4 linked regions of the Astyanax mexicanus genome follow. The protein of the gene in region 3 purifies or fractionates together with the protein of the main gene of each other region. This does not show direct contact. Links are inferred from orthologs where the notes say so. Each region holds a gene or a part of one and is shown on either strand. Other genes may lie near its edges.

The links.
Region 1: the proteins of hdac6 (region 3) and myh10 purify together in Homo sapiens (affinity purification with mass spectrometry; 3 studies listed by BioGRID, with this or other methods). This does not show direct contact. The link is inferred for Astyanax mexicanus from reciprocal best matches to the Homo sapiens genes HDAC6 and MYH10.
Region 2: the proteins of hdac6 (region 3) and tubb5 purify together in Homo sapiens (affinity purification with mass spectrometry; 4 studies listed by BioGRID, with this or other methods). This does not show direct contact. The link is inferred for Astyanax mexicanus from reciprocal best matches to the Homo sapiens genes HDAC6 and TUBB.
Region 4: the proteins of hdac6 (region 3) and cct5 purify together in Homo sapiens (affinity purification with mass spectrometry, with the first as the bait; 3 studies listed by BioGRID). This does not show direct contact. The link is inferred for Astyanax mexicanus from reciprocal best matches to the Homo sapiens genes HDAC6 and CCT5.

The regions. Positions count from the first base shown.
Region 1 is NC_064412.1:26,396,911-26,405,075, forward strand, and holds the start of myh10 (myosin-10), read right to left. Parts: upstream 3,225-8,165; 5' UTR 3,080-3,224; intron 309-3,079; 5' UTR 288-308; coding exon 1-287. UniProt on the Homo sapiens protein: Cellular myosin that appears to play a role in cytokinesis, cell shape, and specialized functions such as secretion and capping. Involved with LARP6 in the stabilization of type I collagen mRNAs for CO1A1 and CO1A2.
Region 2 is NC_064413.1:1,501,562-1,510,034, reverse strand, and holds the start of tubb5 (tubulin beta-5 chain), read left to right. Parts: upstream 1-5,169; 5' UTR 5,170-5,271; coding exon 5,272-5,328; intron 5,329-8,473. Other genes in the region: flot1b (flotillin-1b), read right to left, coding at 1,750-1,792. UniProt on the Homo sapiens protein: Tubulin is the major constituent of microtubules, a cylinder consisting of laterally associated linear protofilaments composed of alpha- and beta-tubulin heterodimers.
Region 3 is NC_064419.1:4,052,240-4,060,354, forward strand, and holds the start of hdac6 (histone deacetylase 6), read right to left. Parts: upstream 3,200-8,115; 5' UTR 2,821-3,199; intron 1,824-2,820; exon of another isoform or gene 1,821-1,823; 5' UTR 1,783-1,820; coding exon 1,696-1,782; intron 632-1,695; coding exon 521-631; intron 262-520; coding exon 176-261; intron 1-175.
Region 4 is NC_064408.1:92,085,400-92,093,392, forward strand, and holds the start of cct5 (T-complex protein 1 subunit epsilon), read left to right. Parts: upstream 1-4,351; 5' UTR 4,352-4,469; coding exon 4,470-4,574; intron 4,575-6,818; coding exon 6,819-6,879; intron 6,880-7,447; coding exon 7,448-7,612; intron 7,613-7,832; coding exon 7,833-7,993. Other genes in the region: mtrr (methionine synthase reductase), read right to left, coding at 875-992, 2,082-2,235, 2,327-2,470. UniProt on the Homo sapiens protein: Component of the chaperonin-containing T-complex (TRiC), a molecular chaperone complex that assists the folding of actin, tubulin and other proteins upon ATP hydrolysis.

The sequences.
Region 1 (8,165 bases), on a different chromosome or scaffold from region 3:
AGCTCCGCCATGTCCTCCACCTTGCTGAACTTGGGCGGGTTCATCTTCTGGATGTCGTCCTTATTGACCATAGCCTTTTTGCCATTCTCAGCAAGCTCCACCACCACCTCATCTCCTCTCTCCTCACGGATGCTGGCCGCCTCAAACCCATGCCGCTCCGAGGGGACCCACACCAGCTTCTTGGCGGTCCAGTCAGCCTGCGTGGCCGGGTTATAGACAACCGCCCGGTCCACAAAGAGGTACCGCTCAGGGTCCTCCTGACCGCTCCGCTGAGCCATTTCCGGCATTAGGGACTACAGACAGGCCACCTGCAGAGAAACACAGAATCAGATTAGAGACGACAAAAGCATGGGGTGGATAAAATGGATAACAAATTAAAGCAAATCCCAAAATTACACAAACAAAACAGTTCAGACAGACTGTTATTACCAAGCAGCCAAACATGACTGTTATAGTCTTAATTAAACTGAAAACCTCCAGAAGTAAGCATTTACTGTACACAATCAAACAGCTTATTAATATCACATTACAATGTAGTGTTTTAACATAAAAAATACTTAGCAAAAGTTATTTATAACTTGTACACTTAATAAGAGTGTTCGAAACTGGAAAAAGAGAACATGGATTAAAAGATCATCCAATCAGAACAAATCGCACTGCATACATCAGTCCAAGCATGATAATACCCAGTTGAAAATTGAATGACCGTAATGGATAATCCAACACAGTTAATTAACAGTAATTCTTAAAAAGGGGATAGGTCAAGAAACAAGAACACCACAATGCAACTATTTTTTAACTTATTTATTAATTGATCACTCCATTTAATTATAAACATATCATTTAAACAAGCCATGAACTATCTAGGTTGAAATTTTATTATTTTAGATTTCCAGCGAGAGAACTGCTTAGTTACGTATAACTAGTACGTAATCTCAAAAAAAATTGAATATCATAAAAAATTACTTTATTTCAGTAACTCAGTTCAGTGAAACTAATAATAAATAGATGGATTACACACAGTGATCTATTTTAGGCATTTATTCAGTGTCTCAGACAATAAAACCAATTGGTACTTTTGGCAATGTGGGCAGTGTGCCAAGTCCTGCTGGAAAATGAAACCTGCATCTTTATAAAAGTTGTCAGCAGAGGGAAGCAGGAAGAGCTGTAAGATTTTTTTGGAAAACACTGCACTGACTTTAGACTTAATAGAACACAGTGGACCAACACCAGCAGATGACATGTCTCTTCAAACCATCACTGACCATCAGTCAATTTTGCACTTCATTTGGAATTCAAGGGACCAGAGTCTGGAGGAAGAGTCGAGAGACAGATAGGTGTTGGTTTCTTACAGCACTTCATGCTTCCTTCTGCTGACAACTTCTATGGAGATGCAGATTTCATTTTCCAGCAGGACTTTGCACACTGCCAAAATATGCACTAGTAGCATCTACTGTACATATAATTGTCTATACAGCACTGGTAGGCCCTTGAGAAAGGCCCTTTACACACACTGCTCCCAGGGTATCACACACACACACTGGTGGGTGTGCTCACTGCATGAATGGGCTAAAGATGAACACCACATTCCATATATCTGGCCAACAAGTATGATAAAACTGGGTGTCTTGTCTGGTCTTTTACACATCAAGTCATTCATTTAACATCTACACGCAGCTTCTTTTTATGCAGCATCCATAGAGTCGCATATTTGTGTAGCCCCTGCACAGAGTAATGTGTCCATATGGATTCTAATCATGTTCTAATTATGAATGAAACCTAAAAACTAAACTATTTATACAGTACTAATGCAAATTACACTAAAAACCTTCGTATTCCTCACATAGTTTTCACACATAGGGCCAATACATGGAAATCCATATAGTAAGTTAAAAACTTACACTTGACCTTGGGATTAAGTTATCTAAAAACTACAATTTCCAGTTTTAAGAGCGTTAGCAACTGCTTTAAATACAACACACATTAAGAAGACAGCCAATCAGAAGTTAAACACAAAGTCTATGACTGTGATGGATATACAAAAACAATCATTAATAGTATTTCTCAAAGAGGAGTTTACATCAAGATACAAATTAAAAACACAAGAAAGAACATGTTCTAATGCAATTTACATAATTCATGATTATTACTGCAAACAAACTGGAGTAATAACTGCATTAGAAGCTTTTTTAAATGCTATTCAGATACTATAGTAGACTTATATCAGTGCTAATTTCACTAAATGAGTCTAGAGCATCACTATACGATAAAATCGTAATATTGTCCACTCATTACTGACCTACAGCTTAAAATGTGTAATTGTGCATCAGTTTGGTGCTTAAAATAGAAAATAAAAGGAAGAGAAAATGTGTCAGAAGAAGCATATAGGTCAGAAACCAGAAACAGCTGGAGATGTATGTGTGTGTGGAAGGAGACCAAGTTGGTAACAAGCTAAGTAACTAGCTAGCTATATTTTGTACTAAAAATAAAAGTGCAGAAATGGGTCACTAATGCTGCAGATGCATAAATTGAGGCCAACACACCAAACTCCTAGCTAGCTAATAAAAGCATTAAGAACAAAAACATATTAAAGAGTTTATATCAGCCATAATAAAGTCTCGGGATATTCAAGTTGCATGTACAAATTATATTAATAAAGGTTTCTAAGATATTTAGCTAACAGTAATGAATGTATCTTAATGCTGGTAGTGGTGGTTCTGGGGATGCCGTTAGCTAGCACACAAGGCTACGCGTGTCTGCTAACCTAGCTACGGCATCTCCATCATCACCAACACCATCACTATAATCATCTTCACCGCGGGTAAACTATGAAATAACGGTCTTTTAAAAAGTTTAACCGCCTCGAGAGCCTAAACATATTAGTTTTAGATACCCAGCAAATAATAAAAGCTTAAATTCGGATTTTAACCCACATAAAAAGACCGTAGTTCTGGCTAAAGTCCGTTAGCCTGTCCGCTAACGCAGCCTCCCCTCAGACCCTGATAAAATAATCCGCCAACACGAACCGGAGCTCCGCCACAAAACCACACACCACAAACCCCAGCAGACACACACTTACAAAGGGCGGGAGGCGAGGGAACCTGTGTGCGCAAACAGATGAAATAAATGTCTAATCCGGCGCGTCCAGTTTCATAAGAATCCAGTTTACTGATGTATTAAACTCAGCCTTGTCTCCCTCCGCGCTGCTGCAGGAGCCGCTTCTACTCAACCGAACCCAGCGGACCGCGCTTTCTGAACACACCGACCAATCACAGCCCAGCCCCTTGCCGCAAGAGAACCAATCAGAGCCCAGTAAACTGCCAAAGACCCAATCGCGGCGGCATACGGCGCGCAGACGTCCAATCAGAGCACTATACTACCTTCAGTAACTGAAATAAGTAACTTTAACAGCAGTTAGACAACCGCTAAAGAGCCATACAGCTCTTAAGCGTCCAATCATTAACAGAAAACCACCTCAACCAGCCAATCAAATTTTTTAAAAACGCAAACTGTCAAACAGACAATTATCATCGCTCTGTAGCCTCTGTAACAGCCTGTCGGAGCCCCATCCCGCTAGCACAATCAGATTCTAAAGCATCTAATCAGGTAATCCTTAAAGTGATCACTAGATGGCCCGTACCACACCAGTTCTCTTTCTGTCAACCAATCATAACCCATCGTCCATTAACCAATCAGAATTTAGTTCTGCCCACAGTTAAGTAACGGTCCTGCAAGGAGCTTGTCTACTTAAGTATTTGTTGGTCACACTCAACGACATGTATAACATGCACAAAAACACACACACACACACACACACACAGAGGCGTAGCAGCAAATTCTGGGCCCTGTACACATTCAATGTCAGTGGGCCCCTATCCATGCCAGTACACAAATAACGTGAGAAAAAAGGAAAAAAAGGGGTATTTATCTAAAATAAGAAAAAAACATAAAGTTTTAAGCTACAATCTTCAGCAAAAATCATAATCACAATTATTTAACATGATTATTAATTGTTAGCTAATCTAACAACTTCGTGTGAGCATAAAAACATCAGCAGCAGCTGTCTGAAATGGACTTAGTTAACTTTAAGTGGATTTTTCATAACAAGCATTCTTGGTTCACCTTTTGGAAAGAAAGCCGTCCACAGCTGCCTCCCCTCATTCTTTCTTACTTCTTTTAATAACCTGATTTCTGTTTTTTGGGCAGCATGATGTCTCTAGCCTCCAGGTCATTCATTCTGGGCATTCTGGACATTACACCTGTAGCCGCTCGCTGTCGGGCGGACTAAACCATTTTGCGCCTCCAGGAGGAGGCCCCCTCAATGTCCACTATGTTGAGAGGACTGTGACTAAGGTTCATTCATTCAGTTGATGTTATCAATATATTTGAAAGACTAATTAATAAATAGTAAATTGGAGGGCCCAATTAAAAAATAAAAACATCACAAAAAATGGGCCCCTCTCCCTACTCGGGTCCTGGGTAGTTAGGTCCACTTTTCCCCCCACTACCACACCCATGCACACACACATGCACACACACACACACACACACACGGATACACACGCACACACACAAACACACACACACACACACACATTAATTTACTTTCTTTCACGGACATGGTTTTATTGTATCGTTCATGAAGAAGTAAGTAAAGAAATGTGTCCCTCTTGTGGTGTGGAAAAGTATTACATTATAATAATTATCAATAAATAAAAATCTAATTTACTCACCATATATATATATATATATATATATATATATATATATATATATATATATATATATATATATATATATATATATATATATTCAGCGTGGTAGAGCCCAATGAACAGGAGTGATCCGCCCTGTACCTGAAGAAAGAATATTCTCCTTCAGAAAAATGAAAGAACTTTTGTTTTATATGAAGAGTAAACACAGTGTAGCCTTGTAAAAATTTGTGACATCATAGATTGAACAGAGTAAAAAATAAAAGGAAAGATGGAAAAGCTTACAGCACCTGGTATTCCCAGGCGGTCTCCCATCCAAGTACTAACCAGGCCCGACCCTGCTTAGCTTCCGAGATCAGACGAGATCGGGCGTTCTCAGGGTGGTATGGCCGTAAGCGATAGATCAACTCCCAACAAGCCTATTTATAAGTCACTCACAGACCTGAGTCTTTTCACTGTCATTTACTGCTCTTCACAAAAGTAAAGCAGCTCTACGGACTAATACAAACATCTTGCCTCAAAATAAAAGCTCCTTTTAACTTTCCCTACAAAAAGTAACCACAGAAAAAAAAGGCAAAAACTCCCTATATGTCTTAACTTTTATCTCTTCATCTTTTTTGTTCAATTTTCATGCTCTACGTTTCTTACTCAATGGAATGGAAGCTTCAGATTAGGCCCAATAAAAAAAAGCCCAATTAAAAAAATCATATTTACAAAGAATATTCTGAGAAATAAATAAATAAAATCATACACACACATTAAAGTATACTTGGCATACATTTACAGAAAGGCCCTGTGTCCTACAGAAGGTGCCTTTTTAATTTTTTTCACCCCTGCCATCCAAACAGCCTGAGTCCGCAGCACACTGTATCCAGGTAAGTAAGACCTTCAGGATCACGTGAACATTCTAGACTCAGGTGAGTTAAATCTGAAATCTTTAGCGTGGTAGAGCCCCAGGAACAGGAGTCAGTCGCCCTGTACCTATGTTAAGAAAATAAAAAATAATGCATTTTTTCTTTATTTATAAGCATGAAGAAAGAATATTCTCCTTCAGAAAAATGAAAGAACTTTTAAGTGAGTATTTAATCTGTATATGGTTTTAAGTGTTTTATATGAAGAGTAAACACAGTGTAGCCTTGTAAAAATTTGTGACATCATGGATTGAACGGAGTAAAAAATAAAGGAAAGATGGAAAAGCTTACAGCACCTGGTATTCCCAGGCGGTCTCCCATCCAAGTACTAACCAGGCCCGACCCTGCTTAGCTTCCGAGATCAGACGAGATCGGGCGTTCTCAGGGTGGTATGGCCGTAAGCGAAAGATCAACTCCCAACAAGCCTATTTATAAGTCACTCACAGACCTGAGTCTTTTCACTGTCATTTACTGCTCTTCACAAAAGTAAAGCAGCTCTACGGACTAATACAAACATCTTGCCTCAAAATAAAAGCTCCTTTTAACTTTCCCTACAAAAAGTAACCACAGAAAAAAAAGGCAAAAACTCCCTATATGTCTTAACTTTTATCTCTTCATCTTTTTTGTTCAATTTTCATGCTCTACGTTTCTTACTCAATGGAATGGAAGCTTCAGATTAGGCCCAATAAAAAAAAGCCCAATTAAAAAAATCATATTTACAAAGAATATTCTGAGAAATAAATAAATAAAATCATACACACACATTAAAGTATACTTGGCATACATTTACAGAAAGGCCCTGTGTCCTACAGAAGGTGCCTTTTTAATTTTTTTCACCCCTGCCATCCAAACAGCCTGAGTCCGCAGCACACTGTATCCAGGTAAGTAAGACCTTCAGGATCACGTGAACATTCTAGACTCAGGTGAGTTAAATCTGAAATCTTTAGCGTGGTAGAGCCCCAGGAACAGGAGTCAGTCGCCCTGTACCTATGTTAAGAAAATAAAAAATAATGCATTTTTTCTTTATTTATAAGCATGAAGAAAGAATATTCTCCTTCAGAAAAATGAAAGAACTTTTAAGTGAGTATTTAATCTGTATATGGTTTTAAGTGTTTTATATGAAGAGTAAACACAGTGTAGCCTTGTAAAAATTTGTGACATCATGGATTGAACGGAGTAAAAAATAAAGGAAAGATGGAAAAGCTTACAGCACCTGGTATTCCCAGGCGGTCTCCCATCCAAGTACTAACCAGGCCCGACCCTGCTTAGCTTCCGAGATCAGACGAGATCGGGCGTTCTCAGGGTGGTATGGCCGTAAGCGAAAGATCAACTCCCAACAAGCCTATTTATAAGTCACTCACAGACCTGAGTCTTTTCACTGTCATTTACTGCTCTTCACAAAAGTAAAGCAGCTCTACGGACTAATACAAACATCTTGCCTCAAAATAAAAGCTCCTTTTAACTTTCCCTACAAAAAGTAACCACAGAAAAAAAAAGGCAAAAACTCCCTATATGTCTTAACTTTTATCTCTTCATCTTTTTTGTTCAATTTTCATGCTCTACGTTTCTTACTCAATGGAATGGAAGCTTCAGATTAGGCCCAATAAAAAAAAGCCCAATTAAAAAAATCATATTTACAAAGAATATTCTGAGAAATAAATAAATAAAATCATACACACACATTAAAGTATACTTGGCATACATTTACAGAAAGGCCCTGTGTCCTACAGAAGGTGCCTTTTTAATTTTTTTCACCCCTGCCATCGAAACAGCCTGAGTCCGCAGCACACTGTATCCAGGTAATTAAGACCTTCAGGATCACGTGAACATTCTAGACTCAGGTGTGTTAAATCTGAAATCTTTAGCGTGGTAGAGCCCCAGGAACAGGAGTCAGTCGACCTGTACCTATGTTAAGAAAATAAAATATAATGCATTTTTTCTTTATTTATTAGCATGAAGAAAGAATATTCTCCTTCAGAAAAATGAAAGAACTTTTAAGTGAGTATTTAATCTGTATATGGTTTTAAGTGTTTTATATGAAGAGTAAACACAGTGTAGCCTTGTAAAAATTTGTGACATCAAGGATTGAACGGAGTAAAAAATAAAGGAAAGATGGAATAGCTTACAGCACCTGGTATTCCCAGGCGGTCTCCCATCCAAGTACTAACCAGGCCCGACCCTGCTTAGCTTCCGAGATCAGACGAGATCGGGCGTTCTCAGGGTGGTATGGCCGTAAGCGAAAGATCAACTCCCAACAAGCCTATTTATAAGTCACTCACAGACCTGAGTCTTTTCACTGTCATTTACTGCTCTTCACAAAAGTAAAGCAGCTCTACGGACTAATACAAACATCTTGCCTCAAAATAAAAGCTCCTTTTAACTTTCCCTACAAAAAGTAACCACAGAAAAAAAAGGCAAAAACTCCCTATATGTCTTAACTTTTATCTCTTAATCTTTTTTGTTCAATTTTCATGCTCTACGTTTCTTACTCAATGGAATGGAAGCTTCAGATTAGGCCCAATAAAAAAAAGCCCAATTAAAA
Region 2 (8,473 bases), on a different chromosome or scaffold from region 3:
AGCCCTGCTTTAGTTCGCTAGATTAGTGGACTCTGAAAAAGAACAGGATTTCTGCTCGTGGTCATGAATATTCATACATGCAAATATTTTGCCCCTGATTGGCTAACAGCACTGCAGCAGAGAACACCTACCTGCCTCCCGCAAAACAGTAAATTTTACAGCTCTAAAACTCAAAGGACAAAATGTTTTTAGAGATACAGAACTGAGTGCTAGGAAAAGTTAACCCTTAAACTGTCTGCTCTGTATCATAAAACTCTGCTTGTAAAACTCAGAATTCATCGGAGATCCAATTTAAACCTGTAGTTACCGTCTGAATGCAAACACAGACACAGTGCCCAATACATTCTAACATTTAAGGCAGGTTTATAATGGACACATCACGAAAGATTATAATGCATGTAATAAACCAAATTTTTTTTTTTTTTACTTTTTACTTTTTTTTAAAAGCTAAAATCTGCTTAATTCTGCCTTTCAGTTATCAAATGCTTCCTCTTAGTGTGAAACCATATACAGACTTCCCTTTTAAACAATATAATGACCTGTGATTGACAGGACCAGGGGTATGAAGACTGTAAACACTGCTGCATATCTGAACTTCTGAGCAAACCCATGACACTTTATATACTGATCATGTGACAGTGCTGGCATGCAGTGCTGAAGTCACAGATCTGTAGGAGGAGGAGAAGAAGTGGAAAGGACTCATTCCTCAGTGATTTCGGAACAAAGCCAGGTTGCGACACCCTCTCAGCGCAGATGCTAAAGCAGCTGATTAAGAGATAGCACAGATTTTGAGGGCACGTTCTGAGCATGAGTGTGTTCACACTGCTTAACCGAAGTGTGTAATGTGTTTAAAGTTCAGGAAAATACAGATAAAGAACGAGAGTCAAACATACATTGTAACATCTAATGATTAAACTATTTATTTTAATATACAGCTCTGAAACAAAATAAGAGAGCACTTAAAAATGATGAGTTTCTTTGATTTTACCAGTTTTACCATAAAAAAAACTCTGGAATATAATCAAGAGGAAGATGGATGATAAAAAACCATTAAACCACCAAACTGAACTGCTTGAATGTTTGCACCAGGAGTAAAGCAGCATAAAGTTATCCAAAAGCAGTGTGTAAGACTGGTGGAGGAGAACATGATGCCAAGATGCATTAAAAACTGTGAAATGTTGTCTGTAGTTTATAGAATAAAACAACAATGTTCATTTTGAGCAAACATAAACCTATAAAAAGCAAAATCAGAAAAGGTGATTCAGAAACTGAAGTGGTCTCTTAATTTTTTTACAGAGCTGTATTTATGGCTAATACACTTTTTAACCAATAAATTTCCATGACTTTTCCATGCCTTCAAAGACATTGCAAAGACTGTTATTAGTGTAAAAATGTCTTTATTTCAAAACTATTTCAAAAAAGTGTTGTTCGTCTCGCTGCCTCCTGGTGTCGCAGTGTTGCATGTATAAATATTCATAAGCAAGAGCCGAAATCCTATAGTTTCTCCCAGCCCTCCACTCCTCCACCTGACTAAAGCAGTGTTATACCAGATCACCAGATGATTTTATTTTTATTTTTCACAAAAATTAGCTCACATGGCCTTCATTCATACTGGAGACACAACTAGACGATTTAAAATGAATGAAAAAAAAAAACCAGATCGATTAAACATTTATTAAAATAGAACAAGTGATTAAATTTCCTTTTTGTTCCAGCCATAAATTCCTACCTATAACGGTTTGTTCTTACCTGAGACCACCATCGCCTCATTGGGACCACAGGTGTAGAACATGTTGATACTGGATCAGACCTGAAAAATAATTCAGTACTGTACATTAAATCCACCTGTGCTGACTTACTACTATTTTTATAAGACAATTCAATGGATTTAATGAGCCAGATCATGTAAAATTCCACAGATCAATCTCTATATGAGGGAGTGAGGGATATCTCGTTGGTGAATTTTTAGCTGTGGCCAAATCACATGACACTTCTTTCACTAGATAAGCAGCTGTTTCTCTCTGGACACTTGTGTGGCTGAAGGCATGCAGTCCCTCCCTCTTCCTCCATTCATTTCTCTCTCTCTCTCTCTCTCTCTCTCTCTCTCTCTCTCTCTCTCTCCATAATATCCTGTCTATACGCCTCAGTTCATTTCAACTACACAAAAAGAAAAAATCAACAAACCACAACCACATGATTTGTCCAGACTTGCGTGCGAGATTAAACCTCAGAGTTTCCACAGTAGAAAAGCTGAGAAAACCCACGTCTTTAACAATGTAGAACATTTACAGCAGCCAAAAAAACTCCACATTTAACAGACCAAATGTGTAATAATACACATATTTTCATATTTGATATCAAGGATAAGAGTTTAAAAGATTTTGATCATACAGAGCTATATTATATTGTAGGCTACATATAGAATTATCTTACAAAGGATGGGTAAACCCCCACATTTCTATTAATATTTTATTATATCTTTTCATGGGACAATACTAAAGATAAAACAATTTAATACAGTGTAAAGTAGTTATTGTACAGATATCAGATATAACAGTGTAAGTTTGCTGTGGTGAGTCGGTACACACCTAAATAAAAATAATATATCTTCGGTACAATCGTTTAAAATGATCTAATTTGCTTTATATAAAAATGCTTTTTTATACACGCATAAAATCATGAGCAATAATTATGCTGTCGACTTATTGTACAGAGTATTAAACGTTTTAATATTTCAATGCCAACGGAAGAATTAACTTTAATAACAGATATAACAGTTCACCCAGCTTTAAAGGTAACTTTAATGTGTTTATTGCATTGTTATGTTATCATATTGTCATTATCTCAATAGCATAAAAAGGCTTGAAAATAAAATATGACAAAAATAGTTTTGTTCTACGTAAATTAACTAGGTAACTTATATGTTATCTATCTTTTTTATAATAGTACTTATACTTAACGTTACTTATAGAACACACAAAAACCTGAACAGCCTTATAAATCTACTATTATATTAACTTTATCCAATATATAACTTTATACAAAAAACTGAACCAAAATGTAATCTGGTAACAGGTAACTGTGGTTTTTGTAGTCCTGGGGTGGATTTTTACTTTCTGGACCTGGACTACACACCCCTGTTAGCTAGTTAGCTAACTATACCAACCTATTACACGAAGAAAACTTGGGAATTGGGAACAGAAATATAATGTTAAACAGCGGTAGGCTGTAAATACATAACCTATAGTTCAAAAGGACATTTAGTTTGCTGATTTTACTCTCTGTCTATACGCGTGCTGTTAGTGAGTAACGTTAAGTTTCTGTTAGCTAGCTAAGCTAGGCTAACTAGGCTAGCTCATCAAAAGCCATTAGCTAAATCAATGTAAACAAGCCAACAGGCGACCGTAGCCCCTGACTGCGCTAATGCTGCGGTTATTCTGAATTATATTAAATAATGTAGTTAAACTGGGGTTTCTTACCGACAGCAGGTCTTTAGCAATGAGCTGTGGACTGTGGAAAAGGTTTCGCAACCGCGGAAAGTCTTAAAAGTACCAGTTTTTGTAGCAGCAGCTGCAGCACGGCACAGAAAACACAGCGAATAGCACACAGACGTAGCCGCGCCCATTTACACACTCACACATACACTTACACACACTCTCTCACACACACTCTCACACACACACACGCACACGCACGCACGCACGCACACACACACACACACACACACTTACACACACACTTTTACACACACACACACATACACTTACACACACTCTCTCACACACACTTACACACACACACACGCACACGCACGCACGCACACACACACACACACACACACACACTTACACACACACTTTTACACACACACACACATACACTTACACACACTCTCTCACACACACTTACACACACACACTTACACACACACACACACACACACTTACACACACACTTTTACACACACACACACACACACACACACACACACACACACAAAACAATACAACAGCGTCCCCTGTAGTGCCTCTTATGTACATTCACTCTAATAGATAGATCGCTTCAGTTTCTGAATCAGTTTCTCTGATTTTATCTCTGATAAAATTAACATTGTTGTTTAATTTTATAAACTACGAACATGTCTTCTGAATTCCAAATAAACATATTGTCATTTAGAGCATTTTTTTGCAAAACTTTCATAATGCAACTTAAATAATGCAAAGAAAACAAGTTAATATTTTAAGAGTTCAGAAATCAATATTTGGTGGAATAACCCTGTTTTTTTTATCGCAGTTTTCATGCATCTTGGCATCATGTTCTCCTCCACCAGTCTTACACACTGCTTTTGGATAACTTTATGCTGCTTTACATTTCAGTTTGGTGGTTTGATGGTTTGTGATCATCCATCTTCCTCTTGATTATATTCCAGATGTTTTCAATTTGGTAAAATCAGAGAAACTCATCATTTTTCAGGGTCTCTTATTGTTTTCCAGAGATAGATAAACAGAAGTAAAGAAAGTGAAAAATAGAAAGAGTGACAAACACAGAGAGATACATAGAGAGAAGTAGAGAGAGACACACGTAGAGAAGGAGGGAAAATAGAGACAGAGAGAGAAACAGGGATACACAGTAAGACATAGAAGTAGAGAGAGAAGTAGAGATAATGAAAGAGAGAAAGAGACTGAGAAGTAGAGAAAAGTAAATAGAGAAGTACAGAGAAAGAAGAAGAGAGAAAGAGATAGAAAGACAGTAAGAAGCAGAGAGATGTAGAGACACAGAAAGAGAAATAGAGAGAAGTAGAGAGAAGTAGAGATACAGAAAGAGATTAAATGTGAGTGAGAGGTAGAGAGAAGTACAGATAAGTAAAGAGAGAATTAGAGAGAAAGAAAGAGAGAACTAGAGAGAATAAGGGATAAGTAGAAATATGTAGAGAGAGAAGTAGAGAAAAGTAATGAGCTGAGTGGAGATAAAGAAAGAGAAAGAAAGAGAGATAGAAGTAAAACGAATTAGAGAGAAATAGAGAGAAGCAGAGAGAAAGAAATATATATAGAGAGAGACTAGTAGAGAACGGTTCACATTAGGCCCCGCCCACGTCTCGCGCTCGGTCAAATCAAATCGCTCCACTGCTGCTCGGCCCCGCCCTCTTACTAGCGGAGCCTCGTTCTGGAGAGAATCCAGAATTATAAAGCCTTTGTCCGGCCAGACTCACTACAGCGGAGCCACGCCGTTACATCCGACCAGAGACCCAACTCCTGCACTTCACCTGCAACCATGAGAGAGATCGTTCATATTCAGGCCGGCCAGTGCGGTAACCAGATCGGTGCCAAGGTAAGAGGATATGCACTGTTCTCCTGGAAAAAAAAGAATAAAAAACGACCAACATGCCTTTAAACATGCTTATATGCATCTTGAAGGGGCTTTAAGATGACAATGAAACCCCCACACCAGAGGGGTGGTCTGGTGGCCTAAGCTGCTCTTTTTTTTTGCACAATAATATAAAAAACAATAAAAAATATTAATTTTAACATGCTTCTTTAGCTTTTTTTTACTTTAGAAATGTTTAAATGCATTTTTAAATATTAATGTAGCCATATGCATAAATATATATATATATATATATATATATATATATATATATATATATATATATATATATATATATATATATGCAGCAATGTATCTTCTATCCATTATTATCTAAGAGAACCATATAGCTAGGTCTGTCTGTATTAGTTAGTTAACGTTAGATGCAGATCAACATGTAGGTCAGGTTTAACTTCTTAATCTAACTATATCTTGTATTTTATGCATTTATTATATGTTTTTTTGACAAAAAAACAGAATAGTAGTTGATATTCACGCATTCAGTGAATAAGTTAATTAATTTAAAGTTTATTTAAAAAAAATTATTGTGAAAAAAATGATTGCAGCATGTTTGTATGAAAAAGCAAAAAAGCACTCACAGAATCCCTCAAAAAGTACAAATAAATATCTTAAATTCGTGATTTTTCCTTTCCTTTTCGGTTCCTTTCACTCCCTTTCTCTTGCTGTCTTGCCGGCTAACGGGCGTGGCGCGAGCTCCACACTGTCTGTCTAAAGCTAAGCTAACATTGTCTGGTTCGGAATTTTCCCGTTCCACCTTAAATTCTGCAGCGGTTCCATTCAGGCGCTCTGCGAGAGGAATTGGACCTAGAATGGAACTGCTGCAGAATTTAAGGAGGAATTGGAAATTCCGTCAAAAAGCTTCGCTAGCGCATTCTGCTTCGTTACTAGGCGATGGAGCTGAGGCAAATGCGGGGTTAAAAAGCTGTCAGCACGTTTTTCAGATTAAAAAAGGGTCTTTTTCACCCATAATCTGTTTGTAATGGTTTTTGTTGCATTTTAAGTCGTCGTTTTCTGTATTTTTGTGTGAATATGGATAAATTTGGTGCAGATCAGATGAATGAGAGTGGGAAGGAAGGGTGGGGCGACACAGACAGAAAACCACTGACAAAGAAAACTACCTTTATCTGGAGAAAACTCAACAATATTTATACAATTATGCACAATAAATAATAGTTTAATATAATCAACCTCTTAATTTATTAAAACAATATTATTTTACATATTTTTTCTACATTTTTTGGACAATAAAAGCTGAAAATGTCAGTCTATGTCAAATCACAGACTATGGTAGATAGACAGCTAAGAGGATCTATTGTAATCTGCTATTAACCCCCTTATAGTTTCACTAATACACTAAAAAAATACAAATGCCAACAACAGCCAGCTTCATTAGTGCATTGTTATATATCTGTTATAACTATTTGGATGGCAATTTATTATAAAGGGCTCATGAGAAACGCAGAGAGTCTATTGATCCATCTCATTATGAAGATAATGGCTCCACATACTGGGCGTATTTGAGTGAACAGGCATTGTATTGAACCGGGTTTGGGTGGGGAGGGGCGCAGGCTCCAGCAGATGGAAGATGAGGGATGGTAATGGGTCTCCCAGCTGCTTCATCTGCAGGCCTGTGGCTCAAACCAGATTTAGTCTGACTAACCGAGGAAAAAGACAGGGGTTATTCCTGCCTGCATATCACTGCCGTCTCACCCGCCCTGCTGAAAAATCCAAAACCAGCTGGTCATCCAGAGAAAACACAGCCTATGGTCAAGACCTAGTTAAGGAGATAGCCTACCATCAGAGCTGATCATGAGCTGAATCAATATCAATATCTATCAATTTTCAATTGTAATCACAATTTCAACCTTTGCAATACTACCAATATTGTGATATGGAGCTAATCACAGCATCGGGCAATACTACCGGGTTTCAATACTACCGATATTGGGTTGCGATATTAGCGATATTGTGACATCTAACTAATCGAGGATTGCAGTACTGCAGAGATTGTGATATATAACTAATCACAGCATCGGGCGAAATTTTCAATACTAGCAATATTGTGATATCTAACTAATCACAGCATCAGGCAAGGGTCGCGATACTACAGATATTGTGATTTCGAACTAATCACAGTGGACGAGGGTTCAATGTTTACTATATTGTGATATCAAACTCATTACAGCACATGCAAAAGTTTGCGATACTACCAATAATGTGATATCTAACTAATCACAGCACCGGGCGAGGGTTACGATACTACTGATTCACAGCATTGAGTTAGAATTAAGATACTACCAATATTTTCATATTTAACTAATCAAGGGTTTGCAATACTACTAATATTGTAATATCTAACTAAATGAGGGTTGCAATAATTCCAATATTGATATCTAACTAATACCTAACTAATCATATCATCATCAGGTGAGGGTTGCCATACTTCTGATTTTGTGATATCTATCTGATCGAGGGTTGCGATACTGCTGATATTGTAACTTTAAACTAATGTGGAGGGACCTTTACAATGATTACACACATTAAACAAAATCCAAGAAGCAATACCAATTACACTTTCTACGCTATCCGACATTTAATAGTCTGAGAGTCATGCATATCACAATACGCAGCAGTTTAATTGCTGTTGTTGTTTTTTCCTGTTTGTAGACAGGCATGTGTGGTGACAGGGCAGAACTCTGGCTGCTTATATAAGTTTTAATTGATGCTCCTGATGACAGTGGGGCTTTGCCTGCGTGGTCTGATGGAAGTGATGGGAGTTGACCATGCCACTCAGCACTTCCCTGCTGTTTGTCCTCATTCTTTCAAAGCAATTACTCCCTCTATACCTTGAGATCCTCATTTTGCAGTCCCACTCTTCCTTTACTCTCACTGTCGTTCAGATCGAGGTCATTTATGCAGTCGGGCGGCTTGATTATAACTCCATATGCTGCTTTTTGTTCCAGATTAAATCCATGCTCCTTACATGGACAAGATATTAATAACCTCCAAACACGGCTCAGACACAGATGTAGCAGCAAGTGGTTTGCGATATATTGGAGACTTTATGTTTTTAGACAATAAATGGGAT
Region 3 (8,115 bases):
CTTTGACTAAGCAGCAACAAGTAAATCATTAAGAATGAAGCAATAACAAAGCTTACAAACCTCTGTAACAAACCTCTTTAAACAACAAAAGTCTAAAAAAAAAAACCCTCACACTTACACACTTACTCACTTATTTTTATTAAGAATGAATAAGCATATACAATACTGCAGTCACCTGGTGTCCCAGAGGCAGCGATGGTGAGTAAAAGCTTCAGAGTAAACCAGGCCTGTTCCAGTTGCTTTAGGCTTACAACGCAAATCCTGCAAGCAAATAAACACAAACCCATTCACATACTGTTCAGAACTTATTTACTGTACTAAACTCACATGACATTTACTTATCATATGAACAGTTTGCATGCCGTTATATGATTATGAATAGAACAAAAAATCTCAAGCAGTGCAAAAATCTAAATGCTATATTTTCAGTGGAAAAAATAAAACAACAAAATGAGAAAAAATAAACTAAATAGGTCATATAATTAAAATTCTGCACCAAAATGCACTCTAACATACGCACAATGTTTTTGAGCTTATTGATCATCTCCTCTTCTGCTTTCCCTCGGTCCATTCTGCCCTTTCTCCTGGCGTCCTGGAGACTCTGCTTGTGGTTGGGTTTGCTGTTTTCTCTCTGAGATAAAGAAGCTTCAGGTTAATTACAAACCATCACACAAGCTCCACATAAACTTCACCAATCTCCTATTATCTAACTCAGGTCCACATTTTGCAAGTTAACCTGTTCTATTCTATACAAAGCTCAGCACTGTATCAGGGAAGGTCTCTTATATAGCTAATCTAATGGATCACTACAATTAACTGAAACAATAGAAATCCAGGCACTGAAACGTGTTTGCTTTTAGGCTTTACTAAGTGAGTTGTTCTCAATCTTGTTCCTAAAGTACCACTTATTAAGAAGTACTCAATTCACTTCAGTACAGCTGAAACTAACAATTATCTTGATAATCATTTCAACTGTTGATTATTTTTTCAATCAATGAATTATTAATTTGATAAAACTGGGGAAATAAACCAAACTGTCTTTGTATTAATGTTTGTACTAATGTTATAATTGTATAAGCATCACACAACATACCACTATTAAAAAAAATATGTGTTTTAATAAGTATTAAGCTGACGGTTTAGTAAATTCTATTATTATCAATTTTTGATAACAGTGTACGTAATGTATATATTGTTACACTCGACTGTGAATCTAAAACACTTCCATGCAACGTCAGTCAGAAAAAAACTTTAAGAAGGCTGTTACCGCCAAAGATATAAATTTACAAAGAATGCAACTAATCTTGCTTAACAACTCCAGCAGTCTCTAGTAATGCTGAGTGAGAGAAAAGAATGATCTTGTCTCTAACGTTTGCTTGACTAAAACTATTGCTTGTTTTGGAACTGCATGTAAGATGTGGCACATTGTTCCCCAATACTGAAATCGGCTACTTAAAACCATCAGTAAACACAATTTCTGGCCTCATATTGATGTCTTAATGACGACTGGATCTTTGGTCATTTCAAACTCAGAAGACTCAGTGGAAAGGAGCTCTGGGAAACTTGGTGGACGACGCATGAAGCCTTGCTCCTGTGCTGAGCTTCGGATTGACAAGTAAACCCACAGCACAACACTGACAATTTGTTTTAAACAGACATTTGGCTTTAGCTTTTAAAAAGGTGAATATTTCTTACTTTGGCAGAGTTTTGCTGAGGTTTTTTTGGAGAACGAGAAGAGCCTTTATGTGCTCTTGGTGGAGTGGGATCTGATGCAGATTCCATTATGACGATAACTCCCACGGCAAATCCCTCAGCAAATCCTGCTTTTTAAATATAAAAAAAGAAAAAACTGTAACACAAAAAAACTGTTTAATTTCAAGCGTCAGTGTTAAAAAGGCATACTATAAGGAAAGAACAAAAACTCATAAATAATCAAACAAACAAGTCAAAGCCCTTAAGTCTTATTTGGGTGGAAAAGAAGCAACTATTGTTTAGCATCTCCAGGAACTCCTTCAAGAAGCTGAGAAAACTATTCCAGGTGACTTTCCTTCATGAAGACACTGAGATTAAAATACGAAGAGCGTGCAGATCTGTCCTCAAAGATGGCTGTGAATGTGAATGTGCTAACCTACTTAGTAGAATCTAAAGCAGGAGTGTGACATATCGTATTGTATGCAATAACATCGCCAGCATTTTTTAATATTGTGGATGATTTTATACCCTGAAATATGGTGCCATATCACCCACCCCTATATTATCACATCAGGGTACTACTTTTTTGCTGTTTTTAGCAAAAGAAAAATGTTAATGTTATCATTTCTTGTTATATATCTACTATAGACAGATTATATCTGCCAGTATAATTTATTTTACTTTAATCCTGGATATATGGAGATATTTGGAGTGCATTATTAGAACCATGACATCACTGACTTCGGTTACAAATCTGATAAAATTCTTATATTTTTTTATATCTCAGTCAGTTAGGGGTGTGCCATATCATATACAATAATACAATTTAATGTTCATTTTGTTGCAGTAGTGTATTCTTCTTTGTCATATCTAAAGTAATTCTAAAACATATTCTGCTTTGTTTAACTTCTTCTTTACAGAATAATTCAGCATGTGTTTCTGTATAACTTTAATATAGTATTACAAATTAAATAATGAATGTACAATATAAAAAAATCATAAACAGAAAGAAAAAGCACACTGACTGAAAAGAGGTGTGTCCTTATTTTGACTGGTATTGTATATAGCAACTTTTAATGTGAGTACTGTGTCGTTAAACATGAATAACACCACAAAAGTATCACTTACTATGTTTTTAACTCGTCCTTCGGTTCAGATAGTCCCTCCTGTCCCTCTCTCAGCTGTCTTTCTTTCTCTCAGCTGTCTGTCTCTCTGCTTCATCAGCTGTGTTTAAACGCTGCTTGGCGCTCCGGCAGTCCGACCGTTACCGCGGCTAATGCTAACCGAGCTAAGGTTCCGCCCCCATTTCCACACAAAACTGAGGTAAATAAGCGGATAAAAACAGCGTCTACCGACAGGAGCGGCATATAAACGTGCTACAGTACCGGAGCTGAGTTACTGCTTATTAAATTATTCAGATAAATTAGCTAAAACCGCTCCGCCGCCCGCCGGAGCCACCGCAACTACCCGCGGCACTGCTACTTTCACTCACAGCAACAACAGCTCTGGAGGGCGCGAGCGGATGACGTCTACCTGCACGTGCTTCAGCAAAGCACGCGGGGTCGCTGTTACTCCAACAATAATGTGATATACAGCTCTGGAAAAAATGAAGAGACCACTTCAGTTTCTGAATCAGTTTATCTGATTTCGCTATTTATAGGTATATGTTTGAGTAAAATAAACATTGTTGTTTTATTATTTACACTACGGACAACATTTCTCGCATTTAATAATTATTTTTAGAGCATTTATTTGTAGACAATAATGAGAAATGGCTGAAATAACAAAAAAGATGCAAAGCTTTCAGATCTCAAATAATGCAAAGAAAACAAGTTCATATTCATAAAGTTTTAAGAGTTCAGAAATCCATATTTGGTAAAATAACCCTGGTTTTTAATCACAGTTTTCATGCATCTTGGCATCATGTTCTCCTCCACCAGTCTTACACACTGCTTTTGGATAACTTTATGCCACTGAATTTTAGGCGGTCTCTTTTTTCCAGAGCTGTATAATATACATTATATTATTATATTATTTACTCACCCTTTCTAATCACTAAACTCACCTATCCTAATCACTGAATTTAGGTTCCAATCTATTCCAAGTCTTTGCCATGATTTAACCCTCCTATTATTGTATGGGTCAAATTGACCCGTCTGAAGCTCTAGGAAAAATAGTTAGAAGTATTTTTTTCAGTATGAAACTTCTTCTTCTTGCCTTAATAAGTGTAATCAACATATAATATGAAAATGGATCCGCTCATATTAGCAACCACCCCCTGCAAAAAAAAAAAAAAAACTAAAACAAAATTGCAATGTTATGTTTCAGTGTTGTAAATTTAAAAAATTGTGTTGAATATGTTGGTCTTTTAAAAGTAATAGAGTAAATAAAGTGGTGAAACATTAATGGAGAACTCCGGTGTAAAATGGACTTTGGGTGTAGTAAAACATGAACATGATAAAAAGTAATAACTTTAGTTGAATAGCCCACCTCCGTTCAACCACAGCTTTCTGAGAACCAGTATTTCAATGCAATTTGGCCAAACAGGTTAGAATAGGTTTTAACGGGGCATATTTTGCCCCTGCAGATAAATCGCTTTTTACACCATTATCCAAGCTCAAAGTAGCTCCACAACTTATCGGTAGAGTCCAGAGAGCCCTGACATTTACATCCTTTACACCAGCCCTCCAGGACCAGAGCAGAAGACTCACTTATACAGCACTGAGAAGCGTTCTGTGGAAGAACCCAAATACCAGTGAACAGTGAAATTTACCAGAAGGTGCCTAAAATGGCTCAGAACCAGTCTCATGGTAGGTAAGTGACAATTTTCACTTAACAATGTAAACAGCCACAACAACAGCAAGGCATATCAGTCAACAATAGCATAGCAATTACATGATTCAGAACAGCATTTACCGTTATAAACTGAGGTCTAGCAGACAAGTAGCAGAAAGTGGGTGAGAAGTGCACGATGGGATTGGGAAGACTGCAGCCCACTGCACCCCCTCCTCCCGGCACTCTCCGTACACACACACACACACACACACGTGCATCTGTTACTTACAGCCTTAAGGAAGTGTAGCCATAATATAATATACTCTCTGTAGACTATGTTGTGTGTTAAATAAATATATTACAATAAATCATGCTAAGATCTTAGTAGAAAGTACATGCTCTCTTGCAAATAGTTTTTTTTCTTTTCTGTGGTGCCCTGACCTCCTGCCCTGACCTCTATCACACTAACCAGAAACACTGTAAAGCAGTGTTTATCAGTGTGTTCACTGCACTGTGGCCTTATCATTAGTAAAGTGTTGAATATATAAGCCTGGCCTAAGCTTATACCACTGTACTGTACCTTTTGGAACTGCTTAATCCAGACACCCATCTCAGAAATTAGGGTTTTCTTATTCAGGTCTTCTAACTGTGCTCTGATACAACCTTTCCTGTATGGGTTTTTTCTGGCTGTCCAGACTTTTATAAACTAATCTGGATACAATCTAGATATGCAATCCAGATTTGAGCTTGCAGTGTAAACACAGCCTGAACTGTAAATTAAATAAACTAATTTACTTAAATGAGTTAAGCATTAATAACAGGTATCAGTAACTAATCTTTAGAGCTCTTCTTGTGCCCCCACACTTCCCTCATTCTGGATTCAGCATCCAGAGTGTCCAGACTGTGACAGATCTGTACATATATTTGTATCACATTTGAAGCAATCTCCAAATGTGGTTTGAATCCAATTCACAAATAAAAAAATCATATTTCATGTGGATTCCGGCTGTTCAAACTATCACAAACCATTCTGGATACAATATACAGTAGATATGCCAAAAATCTGATTTGGGCTGGCAGACTGAACTGTGAACTTAATAAGCTTTAAAAAGTGTTCAACTTTTCAATTTGACTTTTAAGTTGAATTTAAGTTTGTTTAATTTCAGCTTGTCCACAGTGTGAATCTGATCAAACATATTCTTTTCTTCATTTTTTTTGAAAGATTATTTCGACTACAGGCCAATATGTGCTGCAAGGTCAAAAGGTCAAGGCGCAAAGGCCACAAAGCCAGTCCACTCTGCTACAGCTTCTTCTCTGTATGTGTGTATGTGGTTGAGTATACATGTATGTGTGATCTGAAAGAGTCTCTTGGATAGAGTGAGTGAATGACTGAGCGAGTGAGTGAGCGAGTGTGTGTGTATGTGTGTGTGTGTGTGTGTGTGTGTGTGTCTATATGACAGGCGTAGATGGCGGGGCGAGCGAGCTCTAACGGTTGTGCCCATGTGTTGGCTGGTCCTGGCCTGTGGTTGCTAATCTCCATGTGTCATTCTGCTCCATTTCCCGCTTGTTTGGCCACCCAGATAAACCCGGTTCACCCCGAACGGAGGAAGCCAGCAACAGAAACCAGAGAGAGATGTGACTTTTCTTGGCACCTTGAAAAAACGAGCCATCAGGGGCCCATGCCATCACTGCAGCATCTCTCCTTCCCTTCTACATGTTTTTTTCAGAGACTCCGGAAAACCAAAAAGCTGCCTGCGTTGCACAATGGGGTTCCAGCAGAGGCCCAAGGAGATGAGCTGTGTGGTCAACACTGAAAGAGTGAAACAGATGGAGGGGGGCAGAGAAGGAGAAATGAGGAAAAAGAGACTGTGTAGGTGTCACACAGAGAGAGAGAGAGAATTGACATGAGGCTGCAGAGGCTGCCACCTTGCCATCATGGCCATTGCGCCATTTTGGGCCATGTGGACCCATGGAGAGGCATCGTGCACACCTGGAAGAGATGACCAGAGGAGCGAACAGAGCGAATGCCCATTGAGGAGGAGCTGAAATGTTAAATTAAGCTACAAATAGACTGTGAATTGTCATATGTGCTCTATCTGTATATTTAAATCTGTATTCCCCAAAATATACAGAAGAATTTCGAATTTCTGGAATCTGGGACAACATTTCCAGAACATTTGCAGTCTTCTCTGGTGTTTTCCTAATGAAGCTTTGGACCTCATTTAACTCAACACTAAAAACACACATAGAGCATATGTTATAGACTTGATTTAGCCAAAGAAATATTTGAAAATGTGCATTTAGTCTTTGAAGATTCTGTATTCTAGGATTATCATTCAGTTAAGAAGAAGAAATGGTTTTGCATGTTTTATTGAATCCCACAGGGTTCTATTGTAGGGGCTATTAAACTTACCCTAAGTATGACTGTGGTATAGCTAGTTATGAGAGGTAAAAACTAAACTACAAAACTATGAGCTACAACATAGGGCCTAAGGGGTTGAAAATAAATATTGATATTTTGTATGTCTGAAATTTTGGGCCTTGTTCAATATAATACCACAACACACACACACACACACACACACTTGATATAGTTATGTTATGGACTGTTTTTTTCTTAAAGAAATGTAAAAAAAAGGCAATAGGTGTTTGCATATTCTGTATTCATATTTAAAGGGGGCTAATCCTATATTTTCTTTCATTTCTATCATTTCTTTTATCTTTTTTTTATCCACATTAATGCACATCTAAAAGTTCACACGTTCATCACATGTCATCTGTCTTTTTTCCATGTGTTCATGTGAACTAACTCCTTAAACCCTTTAAGGCCAACTTCTATACTTCTATATGAATTTAACCCATAGCCTACAGTATGTCTAGAAATATAACCTTCTTAGAAATGTAAATTATATTAAGCTAGCCTTCGGTTCAGATTTGGTTCTGCATAGCTGGCTAGCTAAAAAAATAACCTAGTAGCTATTAACTAAAATTAAAATAAAAAAATAGTTAAAACATAGACTTAGGTGCATTAAAATATCAAGAATTCCCAGTATTTATTCATTAGACTCCCTTATGTGCTACTATAACTGTTTATTTTAATGTAAGATGATAATGGATTATGTGAAGGTTATTTGGTTTTATTTTGTAGTGGGAGATTGAACATTTTGCACACCTTTTTGCACATCTGTCCCAAATTCTAAAAACAAAAGAAAATAAACTGGATGTACATGCAGAGTCTTGTTTGCTGATAGTATCAATTCTATTGATGCTTAACTATGTCACATACTGTGGCCTCTGGAATGATGAAGAAGCTGATCTGATGATGATCTGGTGCTGAGGTGATGGTATTGGAGAGCTCAGATTAACTGGATAATCACCTTTATTTTATTAGAACTGTATTGTACGGTAGTGCGTGTTTGTGAATCAGTGGTAGAGTCAGGCTGAGGCACAGAGAGTGCAGACAGCGGAGGCCTGTTTCTGTATGTAAATTGAATGGAATTTATTCATCCCACCCGGAAAAAAATAATGATATGCAAACCAAACAAACTGTCAGGGATATGGTCTGACTGGATGCTACAGCATATCAAAAATTCTCACACTTACAATACAACTAATGAATAAAAACAAACACTTTATAATGCTGTTCCA
Region 4 (7,993 bases), on a different chromosome or scaffold from region 3:
CAGGGCAATGGCCATTTTAGGATCTGAGTTAAAACTAGTACATACTCATCAACCACTTTATCAGAAACCATTGTAGATTTAACTTTCTGTAGTTAGAGCTAGAGACAGTAGCCCGCCTGTGTATGCACAGTTTGTACGGACATCAGTCTCAACCTAACAGTGTCAAACTAGCAGTGTAAAACCCCCAGAAACACTGTGTCTGCTTCACTCGTATCAGCTCTATTATCCAGTTTAACAGTGACACTGCTGTGCTAAAGATTAATTAAACCACCACTCAAATATGTGTGTTGATATGCTGGTCCCCTGCCAATGATGACAACTAATACACAGCAGATATATGGGCAAATTCCCATACAGAGATTAAGCCTAGCCTTTGACTACACAGCATTTTAAACTGAGATATTTACTTAAACAGAAAATACAATTATATAGGACTAAGCATAATCCCTCAACAGCAAACACCATACTGCGCAAAATGCACTTATTTAGCATCCACGAATACATTTAAGAACCGTTAAGGATTATATTTCTGTTTTAATTTATAACATGATCAGGATGTATAATCAGATATTAAGAAAACCTTCATTAAATTTTAAGCACTAACAGAAATTTGCAGCAGGGCTTCAAACAAAATGTTCTTTATTTTTATATCTGTGTGGGTTTTGGCTTCCAACCACCATCCACCATAGGACTCCACAGTCCCATTTCCACACCTTGGGTTGTCAGGTATACAACACAACAGCACGCAAATAGTTTGCTGCAGCCATAGAAACAGACAAGCTGTCTATTTTTTTTCTCCTGACTAGGTAATCCCTGAGCGTCAGTAAGGTTTAATAACCATAACTATGTAACCCAATGTACAGCATGTTTTTACCCAGTGCCATCATCAGCATGACCCGTTGCATAGAAATGTTTTGCACCAAGTTCCTGCAGACGTTTGTCGATGGTCTTTCCACAGTTGCAGAAATTGGCATAATTTGTGTCTCCCAGCCCTGAGAGAAATACAAAAACAAAGAGCATTGATTTAGTCAGTAAGAAAAATGCTGTCCCTGGAACATCTGGAAGAATGCAGGTTATGAGTGAAATCATCTAGCACAGTTAAACAACTGTTCCAAAATGGCATTTTGTTCAAAAGTGTTTGACTCATTTGTGCAGGGCTGGATTAACATACAGGGTAGGCAGGGGACCACCAGTATGCATAAAGAGGCTCATTTCTTAGCTGGGGAGAAATTGAAAAGTCATTTGGTAATAATGGTAATAATGGCATTAATGATCGACAGGAACAAATTTATTCAGTGCCTACATTTAACTACAACACATGACTACTAAAACTGTATGATTGCACAGATAAGCTGTGCCACTAATACGACATACTGTTCATATCCCACAGGTTCAGTGTTGTGTCCACATACAGGCATCTATAATTTACCCAGACTATTATGCAAATCACAGTATTTTTGTGTAATAGTTTATGTTGCAGTTTAAATGCATGCACTAAATATTCTGTACTTCAGTATTTTGAAAGGTCTTTTTTGTTTTATTACAACTGTGTAACATTATTTATTATGTCACATTATTATATTATTTTTTGTTTGTTTCCGCTGAATGTTTGAAACTGAACATTTATACAGTCGTATCTTTTTAAAATAATTATGTTTTTCCATATTGCAAATGATATCGCAAAAATACAATGAAATATATTAATATTACTTTAGGGGCATATTGCCCAGACCTACTTCTAAGTACATTTTAACATTTATACACAATATTGGAACTTTGCATACACAATACATGTATACACAATAAATATATATATATATATATATATATATATATATATATATATATATATATATATATATATATATATATATATATATATGATTAAATATAAGAAAATGTGTTCTATATACAGTATATTTTCAAAACAAAGTTTTACAAAGTATTAATGGTCATATTTGAGGTTTATATTCTGTAGTCTATGGTATTCTTGATAATACTGTTAAGGGGGCCCTTGGAAATGCTATGTGTACAGAGGGAGGCCTGCATGCACGGGCGCACACATACACACAGTAGCTTACCTAGCAGTGCATAGTGCAGATGAGAGTAGTGATCACCGGGCAAAGACTTGTTCTTGATTTTCTTTACGAACTTCAGTGCTGTGTCCGGAGGCTCACCATCTCCAGTTGTAGAAACAACGAAAACAACAGGGCCGTGTTCTCTGTCCAAGTTATACTACAAACAGTTGTCAGGAAAGCACATCTGTATTAAATTCCCTAGACCCAGTGGATTTTAAGTATTCTTCTTTTCTGGCAGTATATCATACCTTGTCTCCTTTACTCAGACAGCTGATCTTAGCTAGGAATCCATGCTCAGTTGCCTGCTCAGAGATCTCCTCCGCAATAGACTGAGCCTGGCCTCTCTGTGAGCCGTACAAGATCAGGAACCGAGGTGCAACTCCACAAGGCATGATCTGCACCCTGTGTACAGAAACAAGGCTGCATGTCATTCAGATAAATGTAAAACAGTCACTTCAGAACAGAACAAACTGTGTAAATATACACATTATAGAATTAAATATTTGATACACACATACAGTCATGGCCAAAAGTGTTGGCACTCCTAAAAGTTTTACAGAAAATTATTGCAATTACACATGTGGTTATACACATATTGTTTCCTTTGTTTATATTAAAACAACAAACAAATCAAAGGAAAAAAACAAAATTTATATAATTTCATGCAAAACTAAAAATAGGCCAGACAAAATTATTGACACCTTTTAAAAATTGTGGGTAAATAACTTTGTTTCAAGCATGTGATGCTCGTTTAAACTCACCTAAGGCAAGAAACAGGTGTGGGCAAAATAAAATTACACCTGAAACCACATAAAGGCGAGAAATTGACTTAGTCTTTGTGCCAGCTGTGTGAGGAGTTGAGAACAAAAACTATGGAAAACTTTCAACAATTTAAGGTTACAAGCCTATCTCCAGTGATCTTGATTTGCCAAAATTCCACGGTGCCAATAATTTTGGCCAGCTCATTTTTGGCATTCTGTGTGAAATTCTATCAATTTTCTTTTTTTTTATTGCATTTTTGCTATTCCAATACACACAAAGGTAATAGACTTGCATTAAAACATGTGGGATGTAGTAATGTAAGAATTTTCTGGAAATTTTTCAGGGGTTTAAGCAATTTTGACCATGACTGTATATTTCAGTAGCTTATGGGTGTTCAATATTACCAAATATGGGTGGTCCAGGTAACTATTTCTACACTATTTTTAACAAGCTCAAAGTAGCTCCACAACTTATTGCCCCACCCCTAAACCCCTACATCACCCAGTGCCCACCCCAAAAGACTATGCCACCCATTTCTTTAGCCGTTTTCAAGTTTGAACTGAGGCTGGAGCAAAAACGTGAAACATACCATTTAAAACATGAATAACCCAAGTCATGAAATTATTGAAAACGTATAGACGAGATACAGTATCATTATTATATTATGTCCTGTGCCCTACTAGGGCCGTATTGCAGCCCCGAGTTTGAGAGACCACTGTACTAGGTTACATAACACACTCAACTAGCTAGGTTGTATTATCCAGCTACCTAATACCACCAATTACCTGAATCTATCCCCCTCCTTTAAAACACAAACAACAGTGGTAGCTAGTTAGCTCCAGGTAGACAGCAGCAACCTAACGTTAATCACAGATACGCTCAGAGTGCTCATGATTCAACTTTAATTCAACATGAATCAACTTCATGTTTATGTTGATTCATGAACACTTTACCTCTCTGAAGGTAGCTACAGGGTGTCAACATGTCAACAGTGTGCCCTCAAACAGCGTGAACTACACAGAGCTACAGTGTAAAATGAGCTACTCGCAGAGATTAACTAATTTATCAATCCAGCCTTACCTTCATTATATTAATGTTCATAACCGGGGGAGCATTACATCAGAATAACGTGTCTTTCCTACCGGAATACAGATAAACTGCACACAATACGATCTACACGTGTTTGAGGCTGCGCGAATAACCAACCTATTACTACAGAGGCGGGTGAGTCACAGCGCGGACTCAGCTGTACTGAAGTAAATCCACATGCCGTGCAGATCGTGTATCAGAAAAGCGCGGAAATATCGCGATACTGGAATAGTCCATTTACAGTAGGTTTATTAAAAAAAAATATTTAACGTGTATATTCTATACTTAAGTACTATTTTATTATTCTATGCAGTATTATAATGTTGTATAAAGTGTTATAAGTTATATTTATTTGCACTAACATGAATAAAAAGATACATTAATGTTGAGGTTCTCCCGCGGGCAGACTGCCTTGGTTCGGTCCACGCCGCCCTGAGATCCTTCCAGAAGTGGCCGGCAGGACCACGCAACTCTCGGTCTGAAATATTCACCAGATTAAGATTAACCCAGAGAGCTGAGTGAGTTCATCTGCTGGGAAAGATGTCTACGCTAGGGACCCTCGCCTTCGACGAGTATGGAAGGCCGTTCATTATCATTAAAGACCAGGATAAGAAGTTCCGGCTGACGGGCCTGGATGCTCTGAAGGTAAATGCTAGGCTAACACTTTGTTTGAGCTGAAGCCGCCCCTGCGGACTCGCCCTTCCCCTTACTGTGATTTATATATTTAATATGTGTGCTGTATTTAATAAACTGAGTAAATGCTGAATTCTGGTTATGCGCTGCTGGTTAACCTATCTGTTTGTTTAATTAGTTAATTAGTTAGTTATGTTAGTGGTGTCTGTAAACCAGTATGCTGGCCGGTGTTCTATCGAATTGTGCTATCCATCGAGATGTGCTTCCCAACACAATTGCGCATGCGCAAAACTATGTTTTAATTTTTCATTTTTAAAATTTTTTTTTAAATAGTAAAGTTAATTCTGTACTACGTATGTGCATTAAACAACCGGAGCCCCCCTGACATTATTTGTCTGAGTGTTACAAATGTGTAAACGACTTTTGATAATAATAGTAAAAGTAATAAATGAACAATGAAAAAAATACTGCTTATAATCATCCCTTATAACTCTAAACTGTATCCTAATACATTGATTCAGGCTTTTAACCATCCTACCAATAGCATGAGGCATAACAATATGGGTTTTTTCTGGCATTTTAAAATTTTAAACATACACTAGGATAGCATGGTCTGACAGGGTAGCACAACTCGACAGAACACCCGGCATGTCTATAATACCCATGTGCTCGGCCTGTGGCTGTTAACGCTGGCTAAGCTAAGCTAACTGGAGGAGCAGCAGCCACAGCCTAATCCACTGCGCTACTCACTCACTGCACACTGCTCCTCAATTATAGCTAGTTTAGCTAGGTTATATATATATATATATATATATATATATATATATATATATATCTTATTACAAGTATCTTAACCATAGATAATTTCAGGTTACAACTTTTGTGCAGTTTGTAGCAAAAATAAAATTCACACTTTTCTCGTTTCCCATTAAATATCTAATGGAGACTGATCATGTCTGCCCAGTAAAATGTATTTTAATTAAATCCTGATTATATGGAGCGCATTATTAGTGTCCTAGCATGGCATGAGCATCCGAAACAACGCTCAGTTAGGGGTTTTACTGTCATTCTGTATGCAATAATGTTGTTAAGCAACATATTATTTTAGGGCCACATTTCAGGCTAACTAACGTAATGTTACAATTTGTTTTGCCGTTTTTAGCAAAAGTAAAATTTCAACTGTTCTCGTTCCCTATTAAATATATAGTAGAGACAGCTTGTTTGTCCATAATTTTTGTTAAATAAAATATATGTTTATTTTGTTGCAGTAGTGTATTCTTGAAATGACTTGTTTAATATAATTTTTTTCCACAGTGCCAAGAATATCGTTATTGCAAAAAGTCCCTAAAATATTGTGATCTTATTTTGGGGCCATATCGCCCACCCATACTCTACATGCTTATAGCAAGCAGTTTTAGACCAAAATGATTAGGAACTCAAGGCCCAGCTCAGTTTTACTAGTAAAACTGCAATAACTCTGACTAATCCATGTAATGCAGTTTTAACAGGTGTAATCTTTTATTACAGGTAAGAAAATTATTTTTATTGGTAAAATTAAATCTACAGATCAGTAAAAACATTCAGACATTTAGTCACATTACCAAGACCCCTTATCCTAATTTAATTTTAAATTTTACCATGCATATGTTACCCTTGATTAACATGGAATTTCATTCTTTGTTTATTTAACTGCATTTTGTTCTAGTAAAAATCCAGTTACAGATATCTACAACTTCTGTCGTTCTTGTAGAAATTGTATTTTCATTATAAACACAGTAATTCTAACTGCAATTAAAAAAAATAATGAATTAAATTATTCTAATTAAAAATTGATTTATTATTATTATTATTATTATTACAAGAGGGAATTTCAGTAAATAGGCTTATGCATCTGTCAAACATTTTAAAGAACACTCAATTTATTATTTTTTTTTGTGCTTGTCAGAATTCATTTACTGATAAATGGACAGGCTTTAGAATCATCAAAAAATGCACCAGTGATATCTGAAAACTAGATTTTAGAAAACTAGATCTTGCAGTTTCTTTTAGAAACTCTGAGGTTTTTAATAATAAAGACATTGTATAGAGCTTTAATTAATTTGTAGATTTGATATTGTTACTAAAATAATTGATGGCTGTAATCTAAAATTAGTTTTCACTAATTTAAACTACATTGCAGAGATATTAAGAGGCTATGACATCATCTTTGTATTAAATGCATATTACATAGGTTTAATATGTGTTTTGCTTTTGCAGTCACACATCATGGCAGCAAAGGCAGTGGCCAACACCCTCAAGACTTCACTGGGTCCAAATGGTGAGATACTTCAGTTTGGTCACATTCCTGTTATGTCCTGTCTTCAATTTTAATTAGTAAATTTGTATGTTTAGTAAGGAAGGGCCAGAATGGAAATTTTGTGTTGATTCTCATAACCAGTATTTTTGTGCTCGTCTGAGATGTTGATATATTAGCTACATTAGATTAATTTTGCTTGTGCATAAAGTCTTGTCATTAGTTAGCAAGCACTTACACCTTGAGAAGTTCTCAAAGCATTTGTGGCATGTTAATCATGCATTTGTTGAAATCATGTTAAATTAAATATAAATGCTACATCAACATTGTATAGAGCAGGTTTGTCCTTTTCACCTCAAAGTAATCAAAATTTCTCACTTTAACGTGAGGTCTACATCTGATCTACAACCATGCTTTTATTTAGTTTTCATTGAGCATTTTTTAACAAATTAGGTGGAAGTGATCATCAAAGACCGAGAAGGGGTTGCTGCAGTTTTTTGACAACTGACAGCAGGACTGCAGATGTTCTGTGCTGTTAAACTCTGTATAAGAAAATCTGCCACTACCTAAAGTGACTTCCTTTTAAATGCAGGACTTGATAAGATGATGGTGGATAAAGATGGTGAAGTGACAGTCACCAATGACGGAGCAACAATCCTCAGCATGATGGATGTGGATCATCAAATTGCCAAACTCATGGTGGAGCTCTCCAAGTCTCAAGATGATGAAATTGGAGATGGCACCACTGGAGTAGTTGGTAAGTATATATTGGGTAGGGCTGGGCATTATATCAAAATGTCATGTTATTAGTATAACTTACATTACAGTTTGTCACCATGCATTGTAAATCTAATGTTCACAATTAAATTAAAATAGCTCTAGTATCATGACATTATGTTAAAACCATAAAGCTTTAATCATCTGTTAATTGTATAAATGTTTATGATGTTCTGATCATCTGCTTTGTTCTGTCTTAGTTCTTGCTGGAGCTCTCTTGGAGCAGGCAGAGCAGCTGCTGGACAGAGGCATTCACCCAATCCGGATTGCTGATGGATATGACCAGGCTGCCCGTATAGCCATTGAACATCTGGACAAGATTGGCGACAGTTTCCCAGTGGACCCCAGCAACACAGAGCCA